Bombyx mori: one gene and its partners. The protein of the gene in region 1 binds, or shares a complex with, the protein of each later gene. Links are inferred from orthologs where the notes say so. Each region holds a gene or a part of one and is shown in the gene's direction. Other genes may lie near its edges.

The links.
Region 2: pre-mRNA-splicing factor 38 (region 1) and protein Red share a complex: the UniProt entries of both Homo sapiens proteins name them as parts of the spliceosome B complex. The link is inferred for Bombyx mori from reciprocal best matches to the Homo sapiens genes PRPF38A and IK.
Region 3: pre-mRNA-splicing factor 38 (region 1) and zinc finger matrin-type protein 2 share a complex: the UniProt entries of both Homo sapiens proteins name them as parts of the spliceosome B complex. The link is inferred for Bombyx mori from reciprocal best matches to the Homo sapiens genes PRPF38A and ZMAT2.
Region 4: the proteins of pre-mRNA-splicing factor 38 (region 1) and microfibrillar-associated protein 1 are in contact, whole or in part, in a crystal structure (PDB 5F5S), measured with the Homo sapiens proteins. The link is inferred for Bombyx mori from reciprocal best matches to the Homo sapiens genes PRPF38A and MFAP1. Residues at the interface, in NP_116253.2 of Homo sapiens: Tyr124, Asn125, Tyr127, Lys129, His143, Asp145, Glu146, Asp149, His153, Tyr169, Val170, Glu172; in NP_005917.2 of Homo sapiens: Glu275, Tyr276, Trp279, Arg282, Glu283, Arg286, Arg289, Asp290, Arg294, Leu297, Glu298, Lys301.
Region 5: pre-mRNA-splicing factor 38 (region 1) and WD40 repeat-containing protein SMU1 share a complex: the UniProt entries of both Homo sapiens proteins name them as parts of the spliceosome B complex. The link is inferred for Bombyx mori from reciprocal best matches to the Homo sapiens genes PRPF38A and SMU1.

What each region holds. Positions count from the first base shown.
Region 1 is NC_085134.1:4,005,666-4,012,219, reverse strand, and holds pre-mRNA-splicing factor 38, read left to right. Parts: upstream 1-2,985; 5' UTR 2,986-3,016; coding exon 3,017-3,678; intron 3,679-3,957; coding exon 3,958-4,255; 3' UTR 4,256-4,503; downstream 4,504-6,554. UniProt on the Homo sapiens protein: Involved in pre-mRNA splicing as a component of the spliceosome.
Region 2 is NC_085122.1:6,714,218-6,718,247, forward strand, and holds the start of protein Red, read left to right. Parts: upstream 1-1,230; 5' UTR 1,231-4,030. Other genes in the region: Mif (macrophage migration inhibitory factor), read left to right, coding at 889-967. UniProt on the Homo sapiens protein: Involved in pre-mRNA splicing as a component of the spliceosome. Auxiliary spliceosomal protein that regulates selection of alternative splice sites in a small set of target pre-mRNA species. Required for normal mitotic cell cycle progression.
Region 3 is NC_085128.1:9,736,169-9,742,879, reverse strand, and holds zinc finger matrin-type protein 2, read left to right. Parts: upstream 1-2,957; 5' UTR 2,958-3,160; coding exon 3,161-3,275; intron 3,276-3,362; coding exon 3,363-3,604; intron 3,605-4,055; coding exon 4,056-4,295; 3' UTR 4,296-4,346; downstream 4,347-6,711. UniProt on the Homo sapiens protein: Involved in pre-mRNA splicing as a component of the spliceosome.
Region 4 is NC_085127.1:8,416,935-8,422,748, reverse strand, and holds the end of microfibrillar-associated protein 1, read left to right. Parts: coding exon 1-117; intron 118-1,598; coding exon 1,599-1,742; intron 1,743-1,890; coding exon 1,891-1,987; intron 1,988-2,988; coding exon 2,989-3,174; 3' UTR 3,175-3,838; downstream 3,839-5,814. UniProt on the Homo sapiens protein: Involved in pre-mRNA splicing as a component of the spliceosome.
Region 5 is NC_085112.1:941,407-948,902, forward strand, and holds the start of WD40 repeat-containing protein SMU1, read left to right. Parts: upstream 1-2,789; 5' UTR 2,790-2,990; coding exon 2,991-3,016; exon of another isoform or gene 3,017-3,033; intron 3,034-3,110; coding exon 3,111-3,177; intron 3,178-3,878; coding exon 3,879-4,137; intron 4,138-4,508; coding exon 4,509-5,023; intron 5,024-5,461; coding exon 5,462-5,589; intron 5,590-6,479; coding exon 6,480-6,924; intron 6,925-7,315; coding exon 7,316-7,414; 3' UTR 7,415-7,496. UniProt on the Homo sapiens protein: Involved in pre-mRNA splicing as a component of the spliceosome. Regulates alternative splicing of the HSPG2 pre-mRNA. Required for normal accumulation of IK.

The sequences.
Region 1 (6,554 bases):
CTCTTGCTAGGGTTCGTGTTAGCAACATCGTCAGGTTTGAGCCCCGTGAGCTCACCTACTAAAGTTAGGGTTACGCTGACATAGCCGCTAGGGCTATCAGCTTAGGTAGGAAAAAAAAAAAAAAAAAGTAGACAATGCAGCCCACTGAGTTTCTCGCCGGATCTTCTCAGTGGGTTGCGTTTCCGATCCGGTGGTAGATTCTGCGAAGCATGGCTCTTGCTAGGGTTCGTGTAAGCAACGTCGTCAGGTTTGTGCCCCATGAGCTCACCTTCTAGTTAAGGTTACGCTGGAATAGCCTCTCAAGGCTATCAGCTTAGGTAGAAAAAAAAAAGTAGACAATAAAATAGGCTCACTGAAATTGGCCTCCTTTTTTTGATTTTCGGTTTTATTTTTATTTTTAATGATTTGTTCGTCGTTTGTTCGTTAATGTTTGAATGTAAAAATTGTTAGTTCGTCTTTTATTTATTTATAATTGAGTAAACAAATGATTACCCTTAAGTTGGCTCCCCTTACTAGAAGATATCTTTATTTTTATCGCTCAGATCAATTAATTTTAATCAATTATCGTTAGTTCAACGAATATTGGTGATTGTTCGATCTTAAAAACAATTGAATTCCTAATTATTAATTATTTTATATCTAATAAGCAAACCATCACCTCACGCCTACATTGCGCATGCGCCGGTTTTGTCAGTCAGTTGGCAATGGGCGTATTTTCTAGCGTTTTGTTAACAAGTGCGTTTATACTGTCTAATTATTCCTTATGCAGACCAAAAAAATATTCAAAACTTCAACAAAAAATATCGGGGATTTTTTTTTTTTTATTGCTTAGATGTGTGGACGAGCTCACAGCCCACCTGGTGTTAAATGGTTACTGGAGCCCATAGACATCTACAATGTAAATGCGCCACACACCTTGAAAAATACGGCCAATTATTCCTTTTTTTTTTCCTACTTAAGCTGATAGCCCTAGGGGCTATTTCAGCGTAACCCTAACTTTAGTAGGTGAGCTCACGGGGCTCAAACCTGATGACGTTGCTAACACGAACCCTAGCAAGGGCCGTGCTTCGCAGAATCTACCACCGGATCGGAAACGCGACCCACTGAGAAGATCCGGCGAGAAACTCAGTGGGCTCTGTCTGAGAGTTAATTTACTCGTCGAGCCCTTCGTCGCAAGCGACGGGTTCGACGAGAACGGTGACCGGTGCTTGAAGTACGTAAAAGCACCGTTAGTGGATCGGGAGGATCCGAGATGACGTGTTTTGGGCGACGTCGACTGCTTTCCATTCTGTCCGCAGGATCGGGAATGTAATTATTCCTAAATTCATTACGTAGTTCAAAAAATGAAAATTTAATGCACACAAAATCTGTTTTTATTGAAATGATAATTATTTAGAAGTTCAAGAAATATATTGCAGGAACATTTAGTAGAAATTCATTTCATATGGAAGAATAAACTTAGTATACATATACCCTATAAACAGGATTTTATTTTAAAAAATATTTTATTTATAAAAAATATTTATTTACGTCTATATTATCGTAATTATTACTATCGAGAAGTATCTTGATTGATATATATTACAAGGCTTAATAATTGGGAATGTAATTATTTGAAATTTTATGATCGAACAATCACCAATAGTCGTCAAACAAACGATAATTGATCAAAATTAATTAATCTCAACGTTAAAAATAAAAATATCTAGTAAGGGGGTCCTACTTAAAGGTGATCATTTGTTTAATTAATTATTAATAAACAACAGACGAACAAACAATTTTTACATTTGAGCATTAACGAACAAACGACGAACAAATAATTAAAAATAAAAAAAATCCGAAAATAAAAGAAAGGGGCCAAATTCAGTGAGCCAATAAAATATTAGTTTATTATAGCAAAATATAAAAAAAAAAGTAAAACTTAATAAGAATTAAAATATTTTCAAATAATTATTTCTATGACTAGAAAATGCCCTGTGTCATATTCGATAGTCAACGGCAATCGTTAAGACTGGTCTTTCTGGCGATATAATCGCTTTGTTTATTATTTCATATAGATATATACCTAGTCCAGCCATGAGTTATAAAGTAAGGACTTTCACTTTCTACTTAAATGTGAAAATATTACAAAATACTCACTGATTTAGTTTTGAGTCAAGGACCGGTGTATGGAAAATAATGAGAATAATTTTACTCTACTTTAAGAATTACTCGTGCATTTATTTGGAAAAATCTGTGCTTTGTTCTTCACAGTAGATCTTTTTTCTTACTATTTTATTCTATTCAATCAACTTGAGTACAGTGCTCAGTACCGTGCTTTTTAATAAATAAGGTTTTCAAGTAATTGGTGCCTAGTAGCCATTTGGTATAAAAAAGTTTAATTTGAAATGAGAGAAATGTTTTTGAAAGGAAGCTTAACATATTTTATGGAATTGTTAGTAATTTTTTACGGGGCTTATTCTTAAAAGATGCGCCGTCCTAAAATTTGAAAATTTCAATCTTTGATCCCTTTTGAATACTGTACATAAAGAAATATATAAAATGATAACTGATTCATTTTCATAACACTCTTCAATCTATATTCAATAGCCAAATATGTGCCTAGCTTTGATTAACATTAGCCCGATTCTGTTTAATAATACTACTATTCATAATACCTTTCATGGGCTTTATATCTGATGTCTCCTATGAATGAAACCTCCATTTACTTTATTTTTCGTACCATTTATGGAGCCTACCTTCCATAGCATACCATTAGCACAAAAGAAAAAATCTCGAATAAATCAAACATAAAATGATTTGTTGCTTTCAAAAAGCCAGCATTTTCTAGAAAGTTGTTATTGATGTTAATGAACGCTAGCAATGCTCTTAAAATAGCCAAACCGTTGCCTGCTGTTGAATACATTTCTATGTAGGCCGTACTTTTTATGTAATATGCCACAACCCCTTTGCGTATACAGTTGGTTATGAGAACAAAAAGAGTCAATGTCAAAAATGTCAAAGAACCATAACAAAAATGGCGAATCGTACCGTAAAGGACGCGAAATCAATTCGGGGTACAAATCCTCAGTATTTAATAGAAAAAATTATCAGATCTCGTATTTACGACTCGAAGTATTGGAAGGAAGAATGTTTCGCTTTAACTGCAGAGCTGGTAGTAGACAAAGCGATGGAATTGCGTTATGTAGGCGGCGTGCACGGCGGTTTCATTTACCCCACACCATTTTTGTGTTTAGTATTAAAAATGCTTCAAATACAGCCAGAAAAAGATATTGTGGTTGAGTTCATAAAGAATGAAGAGTTCAAATACGTACGTGCACTTGGCGCTTTTTACATGCGCCTCACCGGTACCTCTGTTGACTGCTACAAGTATTTGGAGCCACTTTACAACGATAATAGGAAGTTAAGGCGGCAAAATCGCGACGGCCAATACGAGATAGTTCACATGGACGAGTTTATTGATGAATTACTGCGCGAAGAGAGATTATGCGATATTATTATGCCGAGGATACAGAAACGTCATATTTTGGAGCAGAATAACGAAATCGAGCCCAAAATTTCGGCTCTGGATGATGATATGGATGAAGAAATGCCGTCTGACGATGAAGTTATTGACCCCGAAGCCAAAGAGAACAAGCGAGAGAAAGATAGACGGGACAGGGATAGAAAGAGAGATAGGTACCACATCATCATAAAAGTCGTTACAATTATCACTGACTGCTTGAAATCTTTCTAAGGCATTAATTAGTATTCTCAAAAATCAGTGTTTCCAACAGGCTTGTATGACTTCAGAAAAGAGTGTGTACATTGTTGATGGTCTATGAAACAAAGTGCAGTATAAATACTGTGCAACCATTTTTGTAGTATATGCTTAATAAATATTGTAATAATAAACCCTCCTTGATACACAACAGAAACATATTACATAAAACAATAAACAAAAATCTTTTATTTCAGATCAAGAGACCGTGACAGACGTGATAAGGACAGAAAAAGAGAACGTTCAAGGAGCAGAGATAGAAGACGTGATAGGGAGAGAGAAAAAGAGCGGGAACGCGAGAAGGAACGAGAAAGAGAGAAGGAACGTGAAAGGGAAAAGGAACGTGAAAGAGAGAAAGAACGCGAAAGAGACAAAGAGCGTGAAAGAGAAAAGGAACGTGAACGAGAGAAGGATAGAGACCGTGAACGTCAAAGAGATAGAGATAAGGACCGAAGAGAAAGACATGATGATAGGAGAAGAGATAGAAGACATTAGAATAATTATAAGTGTAATTTTTATTTAGTCATACTATGTAACAATAAGCACTAAAGCTTATTTGAATAAGGATCATGAACACAGAAAACCTTTAATACTTTTAGGAGACTCAACAACTCTTTATGTTCCATAATATATATTTTATCACCTGAGCTTAATGGTTAATAATTCAGCTTTGACTATTGTACAACCAAATCCAGGTTCCTTCTCTTTGTTAAATATGTTTGAATATACAAATTCTGGGTGTATCTGTTTTTGTCTCATATGTAGTATCACTACATAGTATAAAACAAAGTTGCTTTCTTTGTCCCTATGTATGCTTAAATCTTTAAAACTACGCAAGGGATTTTGATGCGGTTTTTTTTAATAGATAGAGCGATTGAAGATGAATGTTTATATGTATAATAACATCCATTAAATAGTGGAGAAATCAATAATAAATTACAGTTTCCGAAGCGAAGCGAGGGCGGGTCGCTAGTTCATAATAAAGCCAATATTAACTGGGCTCTTCTGTGTGAAGTTTTAGAAATATATTGTCTCTTTGCCTGTTATGGTAATCTGTGGGAAGAGATGAAATCTGACTGTAAATTTAAAATTATAAAAAACCTAATACGTAATGGTTGTTGAATAGCTAATGAACCACCATCAAACACATAATATATATTTTTTTAATTTTTATCATTAGAGGATCACAATAATACAACTAAAAAAGTTACATTATTTTAATTTATAAAATTATTATAAATACGACAACAGGTTCGGATGATTAAAAAAAAAACATTTTTAACATTACTAGATTATTGAATAAGTACTATTAGATAGAACATTGATTTAATACAACAAATCCAGTACCATATAAGCAGTTCCAAGCTAATTATGACTCCTTTGATTAACTTTCACGGATAAAAATTAGGGAATCTTTTTCATATAGAACAAATAAGATGGCTCTTATTCTAGTGTGTAATTTATGATGTCTGGACTCGTCCACACCGGTGTCTCATTATAAAAATGAGGATGTCAATATTGATGCCTAATTGGAGACATGAGAGTTTAAAGTTTCAATTTCATCCAAATCCAAACTGTTAATAATATCAGACAGCTAAGATAATATAACCAGACAATTTTTTTTTTATTGCCCTTGTAGGCAGACGAGCATACGGCCCACCTGATGGTGAGTGGTTACCGTCGCCCATGGACTTCAGCAATGCCAGGGGCAGAGCCAAGCCGCTGCCTACCGCTTAATACTCTCCACAAGCCTCTTTTAAAGAAGGACATGTCATAGCGCTCGGGAAACATCATCTCGAACAATTCCTCAGAGCACTCCCCATGGAACATTCGGTACAAAATACAGAGGGAACCGAAGTCCCTCCGCAGACCCATATTTAAACTACCATCAACATTAATTTTTAAGTTATCCAAAATATATGATTTTTTTATATTAAGCTACTTGTTCTATAATACTTATAAGCTTTGGCGATTGTCAAATCTAGAATTTAGTGCTAATGGCAATCTTCACGCTTCCGAAGAAAGTAACATTCACTAAGAAACAAATACTTAAGTACTGTTGGCAAAACAGTTATTACATAGAAATTCAATTAAAATATCCTAATTATTGCTTTTTTGATCACAACGTAATTATCATCACCTGACATGTGACATGGGGTTAAAATTGCATTTGTCTATATAATGGAAAACCCAGTCAAATGGAGTAAGGATGGTGGTGACTTCCAGTACGAACTTACAATTCTCCTATAACCAGCAATTATGCAAAGAAATAAACACAGGTTTGGTTTTTAATTCATGGTAAGTTATCAAATCTCAAAATCAGTTTTTGTTACTGGCTGTAACGGTAATGAATCGTCTTTTTTTATTTTTTATTGCTTAGATGGGTGGACGAGATCACAGCCCACCTGTTGTAAAGTGGATACTGGAGCCCATAGACATCTACAACGTAAATGCCGCCACCCACCTTGAGATATAAGTTCTAAGGTCTCAAGTATAGTTACAACGACTGCCCCACCCTACCAACCGAAACGCATTACTGCTTCACGGCAGAAATAGGCAGGGCGGTGGTACCTACCCGTGCGGACTCACAAGAGGTCCTACCACCAGTAAAAAACGAAGGAACGGGTAATATCGCTGGTAGCATGTGAAAAAATATGTTCGTCGGGTTTGTCTATTCAGTCATGGTGTCGAGGGAACTGCTTCAATGTACACCACAGGAGTTAATTAATAAAAATGGCGAATTAAAAAAAATTATAATCTGACGAAGCGTGTTGTGGATAATAATATGTACTTT
Region 2 (4,030 bases), on another chromosome or scaffold:
TGTAGTCGGTTTTTGTTAAAGTATGTCTATTTACAATTATTTTTAACAATCTTTTATTAGCTTGGCATTGTATGTAACAGATTCTTTGAATGAAATCCCACTTTATAAATGTCGGATTGACTTGAAACTTCGCACACCTATCAACGACCATAGACCTATATAGTCTCAACAACCGATAACAATGAAATAATTTAATAAAATTGTCCGATTAGTAACTTGATTGAGATTTTTAGGCTTAAAGACTGTACGGACGGTTAAAACACGGTAGTGTCTTGTGCCAAGTACAGAGGCGCGTACGCGGCTGCTGCTTCTCTTGGATTTATGATAGCCGTTTCTCAGGTTCCTTCTCTGGAACCGATCGGATTATGAAATAATCATAGATCGACCTAATAACCTGTTTTCACATATGGTGCACTAAAACGGCGATTGTTCCTTGCTATGAAATGACCATAGTTAAAGACAAAAAAAAATCGTGAGGTGGTTTTTAGATTTAAGATTTTATAGTGACCACTATCAGTACTACCAATATTTCATTAAAATAACATATTTACAATAATTGACGTCTACTATCCCACGCATTTTTTCGTTAAAATGCTTTTTCCTAGTCACTTTTTAAAAAAATGATTTGCTACTATACAGTTTTTAATCTATTATTTTTATGCGTGGTAATAATAAGATCTGTAGTTAGCTCATCCTTTTTGGCTCCTTAGTGGCGAAAACATATATGTATACATACATGTACTTATGTATGTCATGTTTGTCATGTTTGTCATGTCGGAGTTCTTGGACCTGAATCCGCATAACAGAATCTAATTAAACGCATTTGTATTGTACGATTATTCCTTTCATTATCTTTTTTGAATTAATCAAAAATTATATTTTTTACAGCATGTACATAACCTTCCAAGACGAACCTACCGGCAACGTTGGATTTAAAGGAACGACTTTCCACGCGATCTTTGGATAAACATTATAAAAAACAATATCCAAACCATAGGATAAATAGCGAGAAATGATGTGCTTCCATAATAATCTATAAAATGCTTAAAATCATATTAAAATTGTCTTTAGAGTATTCTTATTGATGTTTGAAATAGTTATTGTATGTATCCTTGGCCTTAGATTAGTCTGTGACTAACCGAAGCCGTTTTTTTTTCGGGCCTGGCCGAACCTCCTACGAGGTGCCCGCGCCTAGGAGGCGCGCGGGGTATGTGAGACTTGACGACCTGCAAGGTGTTGGGAGCAGACCGCGGGCCCAAGGAATTTTAGGGCCCTACCGCACTAAACGACTCTATTTTTTATTTTATTTTTATTGCTTAGATCGGTGGACGAGCTCACAGCCCACCTGATGTTAAGTGGTTACTGGAGCCCATAGACATCTACAACGTAAATGCGCCACCCACCTTGAGATAAAAGTTCTAAGGTCTCAAGTATAGTTACAACGGCTGCACCACCCTTCAAACCGAAACGCATTACTGCTTCACGGGAGAAATAGGCAAGGTGGTGGTACCCACCCGCGCGGACTCACAATAGGTCCTACCACCATAAAAAGTAGATTACCTATTATGATTTTAATTGTGTAAACTATTATTACACCCTAAGATACACATGTTATGAATGGGTGTGTATTATAGTTACGCGTTTACCATAATTACGTATACTATGTATGCATCATATCGTATCATCCCTTTGAGAAGGCGGTACGACAAGAAAACCCTCTTGTTGTGGCCGCCGGAAATTACATACCCGGCCCTGTGGACCGAATGGTAAACGGTCGACGTCGCCGCGTCGCCCTAAACACGTCATTACGGATCCTCCCGATCCATTATCGGTGCTTTTAGGCATTCCAAGGACCATTCACCGTTCGACGTGCAACATAACTAACGTATGTCCACAACCGACTGATTTTCGCACTGGATCTTAGACGGTCGCGATTCCGATCAGATGTTAGCTTCAGAAAGGCACTGTTCTTTTTAGCGCAGTGTGTTTAGTGCGAGTTTTTTAACTTCTCTATCACGTAAAAGTTAACTCAAATTTGTACGAATTGGAACAGCGCCCCTAGCGGCAAACCAAGGGAAACTGTTCTAACTCCAGAACTTAAAAAAACTCGCATTGAGCACACAGATGTTATAAAAGTCTCTGAAGCCTACACACCCGGCGAAACTAAAAAAGCCCTAAACTAAAAAACTAAAAACTAAAAAAGCCAAGACTACGGGTAATTAGTTATTCCAAAAAACTAGAGTAAAATTTTAAGTCAACTTTAATAGAGCTGACGAATAAAAATATTATTCCTATGTAGATGGAAGAAAGTAGTGATGCGTCAAAATTCTATATTAAATCTTAATTTAATTTTGTAAATGTATTTCTCAATGTAAAGCAAAGCAGTCTTTTTTGCATTTTCTTTAAAAGTTTGCTACGGTAACGCTATATTATATTTCACGGACACTCATAGCCACAGAGTTCAACTTCCACTGTATTCTTTTTAACTTTAGTGATAAGATGGATCATAAATAAAAATAATCGGAAACCTGTATTTTTGGAACAAAACAGTGGAATATGAACAATTGTGACCGCCAACTCACATTTATTAAGTGTAGTAGGGTATCTTATTAAGTCCAAATCGATAGATACTAACCATCATGCTTAATTCGGTTGCAAAGCAGTCGTAGAATACTGCTTCGAGACGGGCACTACACCATTCAAACTGACCTCATGTTTCAAGCTGAATAGTGGCACTTACATTGGTTTTTGTTTAAGCTGGCAACTTTATTCTAGGTGGGCCCTGAGATAGTTCACCAACTAAACCGTATTATCTTCTTTTTTTATGATTGAGGGTTTACTAGTGGCCCGGAGGCCTTTCCAGTTTCACAAGGACAGGTGGGCGAGCCAGAAGAGGCGGGATTTGCTAACAGCTACCCGAGCGCCTTCAAGGGAGACCTAGCAACTCAACAGTAGCTGCTTCGCGAATGAATCTACTACCGGATCGGAATCGCGACCCGCTGAGAAGATCCGGCGAGATACTCAACGGGCTGATGCTTATGTTAGATTGCACGGTTACCGGGGTCTCTACTCCTAGTGTTAGAGCGAAAGGCGTCTTATGCGAGGGTTATTGCGAGGTATCTAATGGATCCTTACAAGGACTACACAGAGTCACCTGGTTCCGAAAGGACATTTTACTCCGCTTACAGATCATGGGGTAGAGTCTGCCGAGAATAAACGCGGCACGGTCGTGGACTGCTTTTATATGTGGATGGAATCTCGTGGATAACCGTATTATATATGAACTAAGAATTAAAAAAGAGGAGCCCAAGGAACTCAAGCTCAAGTAAATCTTATTAGGGCATATCATTATTGGCATAAATTTTATGAGGCCTCATGCAACATGTACATACGTACAGAGTGAAGTTGTGTGAATTGTTTTAATTTGTCTATTTAGTGTTTCTTCAGGCTTAAATGTGTAATAACGATGTGTAAAAACGATATTAACTGTTTAGTATCTGTGCAAGTGTACAAATGTGGGAAAATTAGACAAAACTGCTGGACATAGCTTCTCGGGATCCTCCAAAAAGTCCACTGAAAAGTCTCAGTAAATAAGCACCATTTTACTAAGATTATATTTCATCCCATATCATACTGTCTCATTTCATTTAATTTCATCCCAGTTGATTAATGTCTCAAATTAATCATCTTCATTTCATTTCATTTCACTCCATATTATCATTTTTCATAAAAATATAAATAAAATAAGACAGAACTTAAAGGTCTTAGTTACCAGGTCATAAAATATTTAAAAAAAAGCTAGTTCGTACTTAATTACATATGTGCGGCTGTCATAGATTTTATAAATGCATTTATAGTGATAATTTTGATATAAACTCAACAAAAACAACTGCTCAGGAAGCTGTAGTTGTATTTTCTGCAGTTTTTCTACTGTTTGAATACTACTATTACTTGAATTCGTAATTTGTAATCATATTCTAGATTAAGAGCAACACAACTAAAACAAATTGATTTCATAAAAATCAATTCA
Region 3 (6,711 bases), on another chromosome or scaffold:
TTTATCTATATTTTTAATATACAATACATTTATACAATACTCTAATAAACAAAAAAAAAACAAAAAAAAACCTTCCCGATCCTGCGGACAGAATGGAAAACAGTCGACGTCGCCCAAAACACGTCTTACGGCCTGGCCACGGGGATCGGCGGTGCGAACAGCGAAGCGGTGGGCGAGGCGACCATTCGCGCAGCACCGTTTGCAGGCCACGGGTACTCACGTTCGCCGCCGCGACTAGTAAGGAAGTCCGACAGCGAAATGTCTATATCGAAATTATCTCGATATTGCTTACAAATTAATAGTTTTTTGGTTCAGGACCTATTATTTGGAAAAGATTGTGAAGTACATGATTTGAATAAGAATCGGAGTATACCTATAGATGGAGAATTCCACAAGAAGTACGAGAAATACTTTGGGTGGCTAGACTTCCAAATAGCTGGTCTAGCTAGTATTTCAGCTATTTTATTTTTTTATTGCTTAGATGGGTGGACGAGCTCACAGCCCACCTTGTGTTAAGTGGTTACTGGAGCCCATAGACATCCACAACGTAAATGCGCCACCCACCTTGAGATATAAGTTCTAAGGTCTCAAGTATAGTTATAATGGCTGCCTCACCCTTCAAACCGAAACGCATTACTACTTCACGGCAGAAATAGGCAGGGTGGTAGTACCCACCCGTGTAGACTCACAAGAGGTCCTACCACCAGTAATTACGCAAATTATTATTTTGAAGATTTCATTTTTATCACACGATGTTATTCCTTCACCGTGGAAATTAATCGTGAACGTTGAGTGTTGTTGAGTACGTATTTCATTACAAAAATTGGTACCCGCCTGATATTCGAACACCGGTGCATCGCTCAACACGATTGCACCGGACGTCCGTTAGGCCACGACGACTTTAAAATTATAAAATAAAAAATAAATAAAAAATATAAAAATTTCGGCGTTAATTTTTCGCGGCGAAAACAACTAAACTCATTTAATCACTGCACTATTCGCCGCGACTACCGCTCGACTCCGTGGCTCGCGCCGTCCGTATTCATGCATTTGTTTTGCTCGCCCGCCGCATCGCGCGATTCGCTCGGTACATTTCGCCGGTCGCTTCGCCGGTCGCCGGTGCGCGTGGCTTGTTAGGTACATTTCTATGCGCTTGTTTTAGTCGCTAGACGCTTCGCCGTTCGCACCGCGCGAATATTCGCATCGGCGAATGTCCCGTGGCCAGGCTGTTAGTCTACCCTACTTAGCGGTAGGCAGCGTCTTGACTCTGCCTCTGGCATAGCTGAAGTCCATAGGCGACGGTAACCACTCAGGTAGGCCATATGCTCGTCTGCCCACAAAGGCAATACAAAAGAAATAAATAAAAAAACAGTCACTGGAAGTGGCTTTTCGGGTTCTTCCAAAAAGTCCACTAAAGTTTCTGTAAATAACCACCATTTTACTAAAACGTTATATCATCCCATCTCATCTCATTTCACCCCAATCGATTACAGCCTCAAATAAATCATCTTCAACTCTTTTTATATCTATATCATTTTTATAATAGTATGGGGAAAAGTCTTTTCTCATTATAGTAGGTAGGTATGTATGAACTTGTAATAAAATCTCTTTGGTTATACTATTTGTATCTGGCTGGTTTTGGAATAATTAAAGGTTTAAAATTTTAAAAAAGACAATTCCAAATTCAAATTAAGAAAATGTGTGATTTTTATTTGTTTTTCGTACTGTCAAGATTAGGGAATCTAATGAAGAAAATCGATACATTTAAAAAGTTTACTACAAAAAAGGTAAAAATGCAACGTAGGCCGCGAAAAAAAATTGCGATGTTTATGGACCTAGTGCTGTGTCTGTGAAAGTAGCACAAAATTGGTTTAAGCGTTTTCAATACGAAATTTTTATTTTAAGAATTTGTACGTCGCTCTAATCGAATCTTTTTGAAAAAGTGAAAGTGACTGATCGCATCTTTTTGAAAAAGTAAAGCAAGATCGGCATATCAGTAGTTACGACGTAGCTGAAGAACTGGGAATTGACTACAAAACAGCTTTGGCTCATTTGAAAAAAAATAGATACACAAAAAAGTTCGATATTTGGGTACCTCACGAGCTCACTGAAAGAAACCTAATGAACCGTGTACTCATTTGTGATTCTTTATTACGACGTAATGAAACCGAACCATGTTTGAAGAAGCTGATAACTGGTGATGAAAAGTGGATCACGCACGACAAGAACGTACGAAAAAAGTCGTGGTCAAAGGTCCGTCAGGCTTCACAGACTGTGGCAAAACCTGGGTTAACTTGCAACAAGGTGATGCTGTTTGTGTAGTGGAATTGGAAGGACATTATTCATTATGAGCTGTTACCACCAGGCAAGACCATTGATTCTGAACTCTACTGCGAACAACTGATGAGATTAAAGGAAGAAGTTGAGAGAAAGTGGCCAGAATTAATCAACAGAAGGAGTGTGGCTTTTCATCATGATAACAATGTGACCTTACACATCTTTAGCCATTCAGCAAAAATTAAGAGAGCTTGACTGGAAGATGTTAATGCATCCGCTGTTTATCCGTATATCCGTCCTGACCTTGCACCTTCAGGTTTCCACCTGTTTCGGTTCTTCAGAATTCTTTAGGCAGTGTCAGATTAACATCACGAGAGGACTGCCAAAACCAATTGTCTCGGTATTTTGATCAGAAGCCCCAAATTTTTTATAGCAATGGGATCATGTCCCTATTTACAAAATGGCAAAAAGCTATCGAACAAAATGATACCTACATACTTAAGTTAAATGTAAATAAACTATTAAAAAAATTTGTTAATTTTCTTAAAAAATGCGAAGAAACTTTTTCCCCAACCTATTATATTAATTTTCATGTAACTGAATATATAAAAGATTAGGCTGTATAATATATATATGCTTTCGCCTTTCTTGTTAGAAAATGGAAATACTACAACTAATCATTTGTCAGTTTTGTCACTGCTAGTTGTCAATTAGAAACATTTCGTTTGTGTTGTTAAGGATGATTTTCTCGTGTTATTTTTTTAATAGATCTAATTGATTACTCTTCCCTCTGGGTACACGTTTAATATAAAACAAACAAGTGGAGTGTGTAAGAAAATCATAACTTGTAATTGTTGTGAAATAAATACTATAAAATTTAAACATGAGTATGCGCCCCGATGACCACCGAAGAAAATGGGACAAAGAGGAATTCGAGAAAATTGCAGCCGAGCGTTTGAAAGCAGAGCTAGAAGAAGAAGAAAAATCCAAGAAGAAAGGTAAAATATTTGTGTCAACACACTTTGTTACGTTAAAATACAAATTTGACACAATATATAAATGTTTGTTTAATTTTCATTTTCCAGCCACTCCAGTCAAACGTGAACTTCTCAAACAACGTGAATATAAAGTAGATTTGGACTCGAGACTCGGGAAGAGTGTAGTAATCAATAAGAATACGCCAACGTCCCAATCTGGAGGATATTATTGTAATGTTTGTGACTGTGTTGTTAAAGATTCAATAAATTTCCTTGATCACATCAATGGTAAAAAACATCAGAGGAATCTGGGAATGTCCATGAAAATAGAAAGGAGCAGCTTAGATCAGGTGAGCTTACTTTTTCACATGTATGTATATGCATAGTACCAAGCAGGTAAATAGGATTGTTGACTTGCTACTAGATTTATGGTCTGAGATCATCAATTGGCCACTGTTGCATCAAAATAATAACAAACATCATGAACCAACGCTATTATTTTTGTGATTGCCTGAGTTGAGCAAACCTACCATCCCACTCAACTAGAGCACTCAATATTAAAATAATTCTCAACAAATTCTTTCAATCTTAATTTTATCAAGTTCTAATGCTATTGTTAAGGAATAATAAATGTAAAATGTTCAACCAAATAGATGATTTAAATTTCTAGACCACTAATTTGAAATAATCTATCTAACTCATCTAGCTGTTCTCAATTTTATAAATACCATTCAGGTTTTAATAATATTTATTCTATTCTATCATAGCTACTACTACTACATTATATTTGTTTGGTTCCAGGTAAAAGCAAGATTTGCACTCAATAAACGAAAGTTGGAAGAGAAAAAGCGTGAATATGAATTAGACACAAGATTAAAGGAAGCCGCTGAAGAAGAAGCTCGTGTGAAAGAGCTACGTAGGGAGAGACGTCGGGACAAGAAACGGAAGTTAATGGAGAATGATGAAATAGATGATACACCAGCACCTTCTGAATTAGCACAAATTATGGGGTTTTCTGGCTTTGGAGGATCTAAAAAATGATATGTTTTAAAATGTAAAGCTTATATTAATAAATACTGTGTGGTACAATAATGTTTCATTGAATGTTTTAATTATTATTTGGCTAATAATTCTATTTGCCCTGACCTTGTTTTATCAAGGTATAATTATGAACTTTGATTTAGCAGACAGGATAATATTACCATATTTATTTGGAAAAGGCTAGAAAAAACGACACCATGTAAATGTAACATGTTCCAAATGCTTTTTCCAATTAAAAAATATAAATTATAAGGCTACAATGTCCACTACCGGACTTGGTATGAGGGCATGTTTTTCATGTGCTAGATGAAAGCTTTTCACTGACTCCAGTAGTCCTGTATATGTCAAAACTCACATCAACTTTAGTTTTTGGGATTTGGGATTTTGGGATATGTAAATCGCACGTGACTACTTTGACTGACTGACTTTTCGAGGACAATAAACAATTCAACAACAAAATCAGTTGGCTGGGCGTTAAAAGAGCGCTCATCTCTCTACTCTAAGTCGTTTCTGTTGAGTCTGGGCTAAGATAACGATCTCGCCCAAATCTATAAATTAAAATAAGACATGACTTAAAGGTCTTAGTCACCAGGTCATAAAATACCTTAAAAAAAGAATTTTATATAATACTTTTTGGCGGGAACGCGAGGCGTGAAGTTGTGTGATTTGTTTTATTTTGTGTTTCTTCGGGTTTAAATGTGTAATAATGGTGGTTTATTAACTGTTTAATATCTGTGAAAGTGCACAAATGTGGGAAAATGAAACAAAGCCGTTGGACGTAATTTCTCGGGATCCTCAAAAAAGTCCACTGAAAAAATCTTAGTAAGTGACCACCATTTTACTCAGATTATATTTCATCCCATATCATCTCATTTCATTTCATTTAATTTCATCCCAGTTGATTAATGTCTCAAATTAATCATCTTCATTTCATTTCACTCCATAATATAATTTTTCATAAAAATATGAATATAAATTAAAATAAGATATGACTTAAAAGTCTTAGTTAACAGGTTATAAAATCCCTGAAAAAAAAATTTCGATATATCGAAATTTTTATAAGGTGAATGAAGTTAGCCCCTCAAAAAAATTTTTTTTTCCTATTTTATACTTATTCTCTATTAATTCGTTTGTTCATCATTTGTTCATGATTGTTGACTGTTAATAATTGTTTGTTCTGCATTTATTTATTTAAAAAAAATATTTAAAAATATACCTACAAGTTAGCCCCTCTAATGCAATTTTTAATATTTTTTCATCGTTAATGACTCGTAAATATTCATTTTCGATTGTTCTTATATAAAACATGTTTGTTCTCTTTCGAAATTACTCGTTTTTTGTTTAATTTACTATTTTTATTAGTTGAATAAATGTATGCAAAATATGTGTACTGCGCATGCGTCAACTATAATGCCTAAACTTTCTACGCGGTTTTAATCGTGAAAAAAAAAACAAATATAAATCCTGAAGGAGCAATTAATTGGTATACAGTTTAATTAAAAAAATAAATAAATGAAGTAATGTGCATTGGCGTTAAGTTAGACCAAATACATTTTTTCCATCCTCTTACCTATCGTATTAAAATGTTATTTTACTAATGTTAGGAATATAATTTCGACTGTGTAAAAAAGTTATTAAAATGTAAACCTATATTTACTTACCTTCATAACGATAAGTAGGAGGATGGAAAAAATGTATTTGGTCTAACTTAACGCCAATGCACATTATTTCATTTATTTATTTTTAATTTTTTTTAATTAAACTGTATACCAATTAATTGCTCCTTCAGGATTTATATTTGTTTTTTTTTTCACGATTAAAACCGCGTAAGTTTAGGCATTATAGTTGACGCATGCGCAGTACACATATTTTGCATACATTTATTCAACTAATAAAAATAGTAAATTAAACAAAAAACGAGTAATTTCGAAAGAGAACAAACGTGTTTTATATAAGAACAATCGAAAATGAATATTTACGAGTCATTAAGGATGAAAAAATATTAGAAAATTGCATTAGAGGGGCTAACTTGTAGGTATATTTTTAAATATTTTTTTTAAATAAATAAATGCAGAACAAACAATTATTAACAGTCAACAATCATGAACAAATGATGAACAAACGAATTAATAGAGAATAAGTATAAAATAGGAAAAAAAAAATTTTTTGAGGGGCTAACTTCATTCACCTATTTTTATATATATCAATTTATATCGGAAAAAAATATCGATATTTTCATATATCGACTTTATTGTAAAAAAATCGTTTTATTATTCGTAGGTAAGTCAGCTCAAAAATGATTACACACTTTATAGTCCAGTACATTTATGAAACAAATTAAATTATAAATGTACTTAGTCTGGCCATAAATACTGTTACAAAAAAATCTATGGCAAATAACATTTATTACTTTTAC
Region 4 (5,814 bases), on another chromosome or scaffold:
AAAAGAAGGGAATATAAATGATGTATGTACAGATGATGAAAATGACGAACTGGAATATGAAGCTTGGAAGTTGCGTGAAATGAAACGTATCAAACGAGATAAAGAAGAAAGGGAAGCGTAAGTTAAAATTATTCATTTGGAAGCTATTTTCTTCTACAGTAGGCGCGCGAGTTCATGTCCGTCCTGAGGAATGCGGTAGTGCTGTGACCTAGTTAATTATGGTGTCGATAATAACTACCGATTTAGTCAATAGCTGTCAATTTGGTTTATTGTAACTAGGTCATTTTGCAAATTATAAAATAAATGTGGTAAGTAATTACTTATTTATTTCTAATAGAGAAAAATATTTTTTAAATTCCAATTCAATTACTATCAGATGAAAAGATAACCGACAGATCAGAGTCCGAATCAGTGTAGGTTTTTTTCTACCTGAACTTGTTGGAAGCGAAGTAGTCGTAGTTTATTCACCATGAAATAACACAATAGCGTTAGCGTAAATTTTTGATATCGATAAGCGCGCGTCACAACTGTCAAAGACAACACTAAACGTCAGACAAACGCGGGGAGGCGGACGGAGGCGGGGCGAGCTGCCCCCCGCGCGTCACCTCTGGCCCCGATGGACACGAACTCGCGCGCACACTGTAGGTTAATTCAACTGTATCTGCTATACGGTAGAACAGTATTCACCATCAATACGCAATGTCGTCAAAGGCCTTTAAGAGATATACTGTAAGATGGGAAGCAGTATTCTCTGAACATTACAGTAGGTAGAGCTAGTGTGCCTGGCTAGAGCAATAAAAGCTAAGTTACTAAGTGAGAATCTGAGGTCCTTAGATTTGCCGAGTATTATTATTAACCCATGGTATATATGAGTCGACTATTATCAAAGCCGGCAATCTGACTTTTGGACAATGATTGGTAAATCAGAAAAACGAATTATTGACTTTGTATTCCATTGGCAGTCACAAAACTCTTCGGAACGACATCTTAGATAAATAACAGGTTAACTATTAACCTTTATTTAATGCAGGTTTTGAACCGTATTCTTTGAAGGAGACGATTATATTCAAATAAATCTGTATTGACATATCAATAAAAATTTTTTGTCCAAATGTACAGATTGCCGCCTTTGATAATAGACGACTCATATGTAGTTAGTACAAGACTTATGCTTCACTCTGTTTTAAAATTAATAGTCGTCTCATATTTCAAATATGAGTTCCACGTTTTGGGTTTTGATTGTGTGAAGTAGATGTTATGCTGATAGGCTGAGATATGCTAAGATTTTATCCACGTAGATGTTATTCTGGCCTAAATTATCTCAGACTGCAGCTGATGTATTTAGTCAATCCCGTGTCAGGACTGCAGCTGATAATGATTTTCTATCAGTGATTGTTATTTGAAATCACAATTTATTTTTTAGATCGCACGATTAAAGAATTCAGTCTCGGAATTTTAATAAAATTAACTATGTTAAAGTTTCACAACGAATAATGTTATATTAAAGAGACTAAAGTTTTAGTCAGTATTAAACATTTTTAATGTATTTTAGTGGCCGTCGATTTTTAGTCAGTGTAACATTTTCATTTTTATTTCAGAGCCGAAAAAGAGATGTTAACTCTGGAACGATTACGCAACATGACCGAAGATGAGCGACGCCTCGAACAACGTATCAATCCAAAGGTTGTCACAAATAAAGCAGTCAAAGGAAAATACAAGTTTCTGCAGAAATATTATCACAGGTAAAATTCATACTTTAAAAATTGTATTAAAAATAATTTTGCTTAATAAGAAAATTATTAAAGTTATTAACCATAAAATTTGAAGCATAAAAACTTGCTTAGTGTGAAAACTATTAAAATTAATAACGATTATATTTTCTAATTTTAGAGGTGCCTTTTATTTGGATAAAGAAGAAGATGTTTTCAAACAGGACTTCTCGGGTCCTACGCTGGATGATCATTTTGACAAGACAGTTTTACCAAAGGTATAAATTTTCTATAAGTTTCAAGAGTAAAATAAGTAAAAGTAGTGTAAACTATACGGATCAAAAAAATACAATATTTTTTTCGGTCTGATTTTTCTAATCAGGGTACGATGGAAATAATAAAATTATTTTATTGGTCCTTGCTAAGTACGTATTCAAATTAAAATTGCTAATCGGATGAAAATTACAGTTGAAATATTGCGTTGTATAAATAGATACAAGTCGAGCTAATAGAAACGTGTTAAATTCAAATGTGGCTATATTACTCAATATGGGTCGCGATATTCAAGTTTGTGGTCTTCAGTAACTATATAGTACCGAGCGAGCGAGTGAGTGACTTGGGGATCTAGGGGCGAGCACGAATGACTATCGAAAAAGTATGTATTCATATCGCTATCCAGAAAAAATGTATAGGATTTAAATAGTGCCCCTACCGTCCGTAAAAAGAATTAATTTCAGCAACACGAATGAATTTACATACTTCCGTACTACTTCCCAATCGAATCGTCACGTTCTAGGAACTCGAAACTTTCATAATTTATCGACATACGGTAACGTAAATCTCGAAGGCTGGCTATCGAGTACTACCATAAATTGTAATTTTACTGGTGGTAGGTGAGTCCGCGCGGGTGGGTACCACCACCCTGCCTATTTCTGCCGTGAAGCAGTAATGCGTTTCGGTTTGAAGGGTGGGGCAGCCGTTGTAACTATACTTGAGACCTTAGAACTTATATCTGAAGGTGGGTGGCGCATTTACGTTCTAGATGTCTATGGGCTCCAGTAACCACTTAACACCAGATGGGCTGTGAGCTCGTCCACCTATCTAAGCAATAAAAAAAATATATTGAATAGGTGGGTGGACGAGCTCACGGCCCACCTGATGTTAAGTGATTACCGGAGCCCATAGACATCAATAACTCTCTTTATTAAACAGTATTTTTTTTCTTGTTTACCTTTATTTTAACAGTGCATTAACTATTCCTATCCTATATTTGTTTTAGGTTATGCAAGTCAAGAAGTTTGGACGTTCCGGTCGTACGAAGTACACACATTTGGTCGATCAAGACACTACGGAGTTCGATTCCGCTTGGAGCAATGAAACCTCAGCAGCCAGACTGACTAACTTCCGCGGGGGAATGAAACAAGTATTCGAGAAACCTTCGGCGAAGAGGAAGCACAATGTTTGACACCTGTCAAACTTGTTAAGGGGACGTTGACCTTGTCATCAGTAAGGCGTTTTAATACGGTAGCTCTGGATGCCAATCAATGTTGATCAGGGAAGGCGTGAACTGTTTAGGCTGTCATCGTTATTAATCACGTGGTTTCTGTGGTGTACCCGTTTAGTAAAGACGTTTTTTTGATACGACCAAAATCGCAACCAAAATAGGTGACCGACTCGTGACGTCACTAAGAAAAGTATCAGAGTCTCACTTATAACTGAATCTTGTTTTCATAGACATTCAAACTGATTAAGCTATTGTTGAAGAAATTGGACCAACTTGAACCAATTGTTACGTGTTATTTAAATTTAAAACGAGATGGTAATGGCGCGTCGCATTTGGATGATTCTCTGAAGTTTGCACAAGTGACTATGCAAAATATTGCTTACGTTATTGATTCAGTGTTGTGACGTCACAAATGTCATGTATCAAGATAGCGTGAATGTTCAAAAACAATGAATTAATTCCGATTTTCCTGTGAAAAATTTGGTCCCTTTTAGATTAATTTCTATTTTTTTACTTGACTTTCATGAACACATCCATACCGTGATAGCGTATTACTTTTATTATTCGTCGAATGACTTGAAAAAATTATAAATATGCCAATAAAACTGTTTGATCCCAAAAAAAATATTTTATTTATTTAAATTTTCTTGTTTTTTTCATTGCTATAGGTGAGTGCTATTAAGAGGTTTCTAGATCTCACATATATATCGATACGCAAAAGGTCAAAGTCTCGATATTTTTTTTTTATTTTTTTTATTGCTTAGATGGATGGACAAGCTCACAGCCCACCTGGTGTTTAGTGGTTACTGGAGCCTATAGACATCTACAGCGTAAATGCGCCACCCACCTTGAGATATAAGTTCTAAGGTCTCAAGTATAGTTACAACGGTTGCCCCACCCTTCAAACCGAAACGCATTACTGCTTCACGGCAGAAATAAGCAGGGTGGTGGTACCTACCCGCGCGGACTCACAAGAGTTCCTACCACCAGTAATTACGAAAATTATAATTTTGCGGGCTTGATTTTTAATACTGTTGTCTTATCTTTCAAATTGAGTGATTGCTTCGTGGAAGAAAGAGACAGAATGATGAGACCGACCGCGTGACTCCTTTACCGTTTAAAAAAAACCACCCGTGATACACACGTATTGCATATTTGAAATTGGAACTTGCGGAAGATTTTTCAGGATATGAACCTCGGAGGTCATAGACAAAGAAGTCCGGTCTTTGAAATTCCGTTTAATTACGTGGTCGGGATTGGAAGCTAAGAGTGATTTAAAGCACTTTTGAAACTGCCAAAGAGCATAATAATTAAGATAGGGCATTGTTTTGTATATAAATTGTACATTAAATGAAGTAAAATTTTGTTTTGTTAACGTTTACAATTTGCAGTGTGGGAGATGAGTTTTATTATAATACACGGGTAGCCAAGCTCACGAGCTACCTGGTGCTGAGAAATTACTACCATTATATGTATTACCACTTTGAGCCATGAGTTTGAAAATTTAATTGTCATGAAGATTATATATATTTTTTATTGCGTAGATGGGTGGACGAGCCCACAGCCCACCTGGTGTTAAGTGGTTACTGGAGCCCATAGACATCTTCAGCGTAAATGCGCCACCCATCTTGAGATATATGTTCTAAGGTCTCAGTATAGTTTGAGAATTCGCATGTTATTTTGATTTCTTTTAATAATAATGGGCATCTACTCTATCAATGAGATGCTATCTATTGATGGCATGCATTGCTATGAGGATGATAGCATGGGGGATGCGTGATATCTCGGCCATCAGTCTCTCTCGAAGCGTGGTACAAGAGAGGCGATCAAAACTTGTGTCTGAAGTGAAGAAAACTGGGGCGTGTCTCCAAGTGGAGTGACTTGAATTCTGTTCATTTGTTTTAGTCTGGTATCCATAATACAAGGAATCTTAAATTGGGGCTGGATGACTGCGTTATTTGTTTCCAGTTATTATCATTATTAATTTTAGGGTTTTTTGGCGGGAACGCGAGGAGTAAAGTTGTGTGATTTGTTTTATTTTGTCTATTTAGTGTTTTTTTGTTTAAATGTGTAATAACGGTGGTTTAATAACTGCTTAGTATCTGTGAAAGTGCACAAATATGGGAAAATGAAACAACTTCTAGGGATCCTCTACAAGTCCACTGAGAAAGTCTGAGTAAATGACCACCATTTTATCGAGATTATATTTTCATTCCATATCATCTCATCTCATTTCATTTCATTTCATGCCATGTTTCATAATATTAATCAATTTCGTTTCATTTCATTTCATTCCATATTATCATTTTCAGAGTCAATTACTACATTAATCAAATTACTTTCTCAACCTAATTTATCTTTATCGTCCCACGTTGCTAATTTAATTGATACTTACACTGATATTAATAATAGCCAACATGGACAGTTTCCTTCGTTTTTTGTTATTCATAAACTGTAAATAATTAAAACGACAAATTATAAAAATCTTATTACTTGACACTGGCTAATGCACAAACCATGCTGGAGCCAAAAAAAAAGAAAAGAAAGAAAGATTATTTAATAATCGACTAATTTGGTACCATGAAATTATACATAGTTATA
Region 5 (7,496 bases), on another chromosome or scaffold:
ATAAATTCTGCCGTTTGATACAAAACAAAGGAGTAGCCATTGTGTCACTAAACAAATTCAGAGAACGAATGCAGAAAAACACATTCCTTTTCGACATAATGTACTATCATTTGCAAGTTAAGTACAAATGACTCATAACATAACAATGTCTCACCACCCTTCGTATCCCACCCCGCCGCCGTGTACCTGCCTTCGATGACTCATTTGTTTTTATCGATAATGGCGTTGCGCCCGCGCAACATGCTCACCGCCCTAGCCGGGCTATGTTTTATGACCCAAACTGCACGGACAAAATAATTCTACTATAGTAAAAGTGTTGAAACGATTTTCAGCACATACAGATTATGAAGCACAATATTCTGTTCGGAACTTGTATGTGCTTAATCTCTTGAAAATCACTTAGATATCTTGGTTGATAGATGGATGAAGAACTACTAAAGAAAAAGACGTACAATGAGTCGACTGTCGTGCAGTTTCATTATGTAGTATTCGGAAACATGTAAATATGACTGTAGTTGGTCAGCTGACTGCAGGAAGGGTTGCCCAGCCTGAAATTAAAACCCCAGTTATCCTAATTCCATCTAATCAAATCAGTCATCCTCTCAGTTCTGACCACTAAGTGGGGATAACTCAAGGTTATTTGTTTGGTGTCAACCAATACCATGAAATGAAACAGCCATGATAATAAATGTATTATGGATATTTAGACTTGACGCATGAGACTACCGCCATGTGCTATGTTGATTCAACCATTTTGTTCCAGTAGTTGTGTCGGTACACGATCTGATAGCGAAAAGTTTCGACCAACACCATAAAGAACTTTCGTTTTCCAGCTGGGTTAGGTAGGGTCCTGGTACAGAAAGCAGTTATACTTGATACGGCACGTATTGTGAGGAGGTTTCACACTCTGGAGCCTGAACCACTGGTGACTTGTGTCGTAGACACTGCCATCAGTGGCAATCTATTTATATAGTGTTTCTGAAGATTGTATTTTTAATCTTTTTTTTTTTAATATAGTTTAATTAATAAAATTTTAATAAACATGTATTAAGTATAGTTTTTAAGAAGACTGATATTACATGGATTGTTCATGCATTTATTGTTTCTTGTTTTGTATGCCCAGAGAGTTAAAAAAATCACAAAGTTAATGGCGTACTTGGCCTAGAAAACGACTAATATACCAAAGTGAGAACATCCTCGTTGAAGTCTGGTAAAACTACACTTCTCAAATCGAAAATATTCCATTGGTTTTGAAGTTGAAAAATTTTGCAATTATTGCGAAACCTCAAAAGAGACCATTACTATGTGGCTTTAGCAAACAAACTACATACTTTAATTTTTAATTGTTTTTTTACAAGTACCTCAAAAAACACCTTAAATAAGTTCATGCCTCACTTGCCGCGAGATGGCTCACTGGCGTTACTTGCATCTGTTATCAATATACTCATCTCTTTTGTCGTGAAAGGGCAGTCTAGCTCACGACCTTAGGGTCCTTGGTTACCTGGTGTTGAGGAACTTCATGGAAACCCAAATCTATCGTGCTCGTAAACGGCATCAAACTCGAGTCGTGAGATTCAAGTCTTAATTGCTTTGAAATATTCGTAGATAAAACGCTGGCACCTTTTCGTCATAACATTTAATATGCGGACGGCTAGTTTTATGGATACCAGAAGATGAAAGATGATAGAAGGCAGATGGATAAATGGGAATTAGTCATATACCTATCTATAAATTGTGATTGTCCTATAGGCAGACGAGCTTACGGCCCACCTGATGGTGAGTGGCTACCATCGCCCATGGACTTCAGCAATGCTAGGGGCTGAGTCAAGCTGCTGCCTACCGTTATATTTGACAGTAATTTGCCCGGCAGAGAAGTTCGCACCTGCTCCGTAAACCCTTCTGGGACTTTGTCACCGCGAAAAGCATTCTCGTCAACGAGCGCGAAGCTCCATTCTTTCCCCGTTACTCAGTTCAGTATATATTTTAATAATACACGCCAGTCGTCAGAGACCCTTCTAGCTCTCTTCGGCGATGATACTAGTTATTACTGGAGTGAGCTGGGAAGATGTCGCTAATTCATCGGCGACTCTAGACCGCAGGATCAGGAGCTTCGGAAGTGGCGTAATTAGTGGTGGTAGAAAGTCTTGTGAGTATCCTTGTGAGTAGTGAGTAGACTTGTGAGTACCTACCGCACGGGTAGGTACCACTACCCTACCTATTTCTGCCGTGAAGTAGTAATGCGGTTCGGTTTGAAGGGTCGGGCAGCCGTTGTAATACTGAGACTGTTAAGTATGTGTGCGTGTGCCTACGCATACGGGGTATTTCAACAAATATAGGGCAGTGTGTTAACAGCAGGCAAGTGTTTCACTCGTGTATCCCTCGTATCTAACAGAGACCTTATAACTTACATCTCAAGGTGGGTGGCGGAATTAACGTTGTAGATGTGTATGTGCTCCAGTAACCACATAACACCAGCTGTAAGCTCGTCCACTCATCTAAGCATTAAAAAAAGAACGATCCTGATGACCGGACAATATACAGTCGCCCTCAGTCTTAACCCGTTATTTCGGGTCAAAGAGTCGTGGGTCCAATTTCCAGGATAAAATGTACTATGCGTACATCGCAAGCTACTAGGCAGGATAAAATGCGTAATGCATATTAAACATAATAATTAAGGCCTATTGGTAGCATAGGAGGCATTGACCATACACTTCACGTTTAGTTTGTAGTCATAAAATTAAATGTTATGTGGGCAACATGGAGTAAGGTTGTAATAGTAACTCTATGGTGGGCAATCTATGTATGGCTTGTAGCTAATCTATGGCGCTGAACTTGAATTGTGTTTATTTCCTTCTGTGTGATTTTATTTTCAATAAAATTTTAGACATTAATTTTGTGACATTGTTTATTATATATGTAAAAATATAAACCTTCAAATTCGCGTAGCAAGTTTTCTGTGGTAACTTCGTATAAAAGACGTTTTATACACAATGTCCATTGAGATAGAATCAGCCGAGTGAGTTTACTATCAATGTAAACACGAAATTACTTGAAATTATTCATCAAATATTTAATTTAGTGCCTAAAATATATTTTTATTTCAATTGCAGTGTTATCAGACTGATACAACAATACTTGAAGGAGTCAAATTTAACCAAAACATTGCAGACTTTGCAGGTTAATTCTGTTGATATTTAATTAAACATATTTTTTAATGAATAGAATTAGTGTAAATTTTTTAAACTTTACAGATTGCACTTATTTTACTTAATTATTCACTTATATTAATGAATTTTGTGTACATTTATGAGAACTTCAATTGTATCAAGTCAGAAAAGAATACCAACTTATTATTGATAAACTCTTAAGCTTTGACACTGGCTAGGATTAATGTTACATACGGCTTTTTTAACTTCAGACAGCATGCAACTTTTAGTAAGATCCACCCATATTGAACAATTTGGGGTTGTGAATTTTTTTTAAATATTGATACCATTCCTGTGCCACTGAAGCTTTAACTTCCAAGATTAGTAGTTGTAATGACCAAATTATATGAGATGTATGCATGTTGTTCACTACTGTTAGGGTGTCTTGTGACCCCCCAATGGTACCTATAAGTTCCTGCCTATTTTTCAATAGAGCAGCCATGTGTACAGGTTTGATAGATGTGACAGCTGTAATACTATGTATAACACTGAAATTTATACCTGAAGTTTCAAGTTAGAAGGATGGCAGTGTTGATATGTCTCAACTAAAGACTCAACACTTAGTTGGCAATGAGCTTGTTCACCATTTTATGCAATAAAAAGCCGTAACTGTACATCTGATTCAGATGTCATCTCTCTGAATTTTGAAAGTAAATGATTTTTAATATATAGGAGGAAACTGGAGTGACTCTAAATACAGTAGACAGCGTGGACGGTTTCTGCGCAGATATTAACAATGGCCACTGGGACACAGTACTTAAAGCTACTGCTTCACTCAAGCTTCCTGACAAAAAGTTGATGGAGTTATATGAGCAGGTTGTATTGGAGTTGATAGAACTGCGAGAATTGGGTGCTGCGAGATCCTTGCTACGTCAGACACATCCTTGTCTGTTGATGAAGCAGCATGAAACAGATCGGTATATGCATCTTGGTGAGTCAAAATTTTAGTATATGTATTTGGCTAAAAATACATCCAGTCTTTAAATCAGATTTGTATCTTAGAATGCTAATGAATATGAATAATATAATATAAAAAGATATAATATTTAAAATAAAACTTATTGCAATACAATAGTAAATAAATGCAATACAATTAAAGTAAATAATACTACTGCTGTAGCAACTTGGCTATGCCTTTGGCATTGTTGATGTCCATTAATGTGACCAGATGGGTGGTCCTAAGCTGATCTAAATAGAGGCAATAAAAACATGTTTAGTTTAAGCAATTTTTATACACATTTCCAATTGTTTTAATCCATAGTTAAATCTGTATGTGTCTGAATGTTTATCTTCATATGACAGAAAACCTGTTAGCACGTTCATATTTCGATCCTCGTGAGGCATACGGCAGTGGAGGAGGCAAGGAGCGGCGCCGCGCTGCCATCGCAGCGTCCCTCGCCGGGGAGGTGTCCGTCGTACCGTCGTCCCGTCTGCTGGCACTACTGGGCCAGGCCCTCAAATGGCAACAGCACCAGGGTCTGCTCCCTCCCGGCACCACTATAGATTTGTTCCGTGGTAAAGCCGCAATAAGAGACCAAGAAGACGATCTCTGCCCCACCCAACTGTCCAAGATCATCAAATTCGGTCAGAAGTCCCACGTGGAGTGCGCGCGATTTTCTCCTGATGGACAATATTTAGTGACGGGCTCCGTAGATGGCGTCGTTGAAGTTTGGAACTTTACAACAGGAAAAATCCGTAAGGATTTGCGTTATCAGGCTCATGATGAGTACATGTGCATGGAAGAGGCGGTGCTGAGCCTGGCTTTTGCGAGGGATAGCGACACATTGGCTGCTGGGTCTAATGATGGAAAAATTAAGGTAATAAATGTTTTAAAACCTCATGCTAGTTAACCTTTTCATTACTGCTTCCGTGTAAAAAGTGAGTTATTATTGCTCCCTAATATATAATTATATAATGCTATGTATATGACCTAATGAGCTCAGAATTCACCTGGGCATCATTAGGTGGTAACAGACAAAACGGAAAGCAATATATATTTCCTAAGATGATTATATACTTTTTGTTGAACATATCGTGCAACCGCAATGTAATGTGAAGTTAAGAGACCTTCTCCTCCCCTTCCCTCCTCTTCTCCACCCCTTCTCCACCCCTTCGCCACCCCTTCCCCGGGCTGCATTGAACTTTGAACATGAAATTTTTTGGTCGTTCAAGATAGTTTCATTGTATCCTTTGTTCAACACATGGGTCATTAAGTAAATTCAACATAATTACTCAATAAAATTCTCTGTGAACAGGTCTGGAAAGTGTCAACGGGTAAAGTGCAACGCAAACTGGACCGAGCTCACTCTAAGGGCGTGACCTGCCTGCAGTTCACCCGAGACAACACTCAGATCCTCTCGGCCTCCTTTGATCGGACCATAAGGTATTTATTTATAAAGTTAAACCTTAAAGTGTACGGGAGGCGTCGATGATCTACCACTGCACTCAGCTGCTAAACGTCTTACTGATACAGATACTGACATCTCAATTTTCATATAGGGCAGGATTTGGTTGGATCTCCAGGGTTCAACCATTGCGACGAGCGCTTCCGATTATCGTACAGTATCCACTTTTCATCACAAGTTGATTCGATTTAAAATTTCTTCATTATTGTGTCGGTCGAGCAAAGTAAAACAGCAGTCGACGCGCGTTTGCAAGTTCCATTTACCCAATTCATGAGGTACCCATCATCCAAGTTTTTTTACTTACCCGATTTGCTTCAAATTGATTAATACAGCTTTATCACTGACTCCGAAGCCTGCAGCTATCTCTGAAGTGCTTTGTGATGGATCTGTTTCCACAATAGCCTTTAATTCTTCATTTTCCACTTTGGTCTCCAACCGTCCACGGGGCTGGTTCTGAAAGTCGAAATTTCTAGAACGAAAACGTTGAAATCAAAAACGTACCGCGCTTTCTTTTGCGACTCCAGCGCCGGACACATCATTAATCCTTCGAGCTGTTTCTGCAGCACTGCGTACTCGTAAATATACCGATATTTCATGTTTTCTGTTGTGTGGTAATAAGCGACGCCAAAGGAAAAAATAAAGAGGAAAAAACCAATGAAGGACTGTTTTCAAAATTCAAATGTACCAGCTAAATCAATTTGTAAATTTGAATTTGTAGTTCTTAACCAAAGAAGAGATATTTCAGATCAGACAAAACACTAATTTCACATCTAAGGACCTAATATTATTGTTGACTCCGAGAGCTACCTGCCCCTCACATCTTGCTCAGTAGCATTCGTATTTACAATAGCGGTACAATATTTCACAGAATCCACGGCCTAAAATCTGGTAAAGTCTTGAAGGAGTTCCGAGGTCACACTTCGTTCGTGAACGAGGCGGTGTTCACGCTGGACGGGCACGCGGTGCTCAGCGGCTCGTCCGACGGGACCGTGAAGGTGTGGGCCGTCCGCTCGGGCGAGTGCACGGCCACGCTCAAGCCCCTCGGCAGCGGGGAGCCCCCGGTCAACACCCTACTCCTCACCCCGAAGAACCCGGACCATTTCGTGGTGTGCAACCGGACGAATACCGTGGCGATAATGAACATGCAAGGGCAAATCGTGAGGTCGTTCTCGAGCGGGAGGCGCGAGGAGGAGGGCGGCGCGCTGGTGTCGGCGGCGCTGAGTGCGCGCGGGAGGCTGGTGTACTGCGCCGGGGAGGACCTCGTGCTGTACGCCTTCTGCGCCAACACCGGCAAGCTGGAGAGGACCATTAATGTGAGTGCTTCTGTACTTTTAACTGGTGGTAGGACCTCTTGTGAGTCCGCGCGGGTAGGTACCACAACCCCGCCTATTTCTACCGTGAAGCAGTAATGCGTTTCGGTTTGAAGGGTGGGGCAGCAGTTGTAACTATACTGAAAACTTACAACTTATATCTCAAGGTGGGTGGCGCATTTACGTTACGGGGATGTCTATGGTCTCCAGTAACCACTTAACACCAAGTGGGTTGTGAACTCGTCCACCCATCTAAGCAATAAAAAAAAAATATAGCCTTCCTTGATAAATGGGCTATCTAACACAAAGAATTTTTCGAATCGCACCAGTAGTTCCTGAGATTAGCGCGTTGAAACAAACAAACTCTTCAGCTTTATAATATTTATTATTTCAGATTCACGAGAAGGCGGTGATCGGGCTGACGCATCACCCGCACCAGAATCTGCTGGCCACGTACAGCGAGGACGGCTTGCTTAAGCTGTGGAAACCATAATTGCATACGCTTTAAATTATAAATTAATTAAAAAAATATATGTGTACAATTTGTGTCCTAATATACCTAAGTACCGACCGAA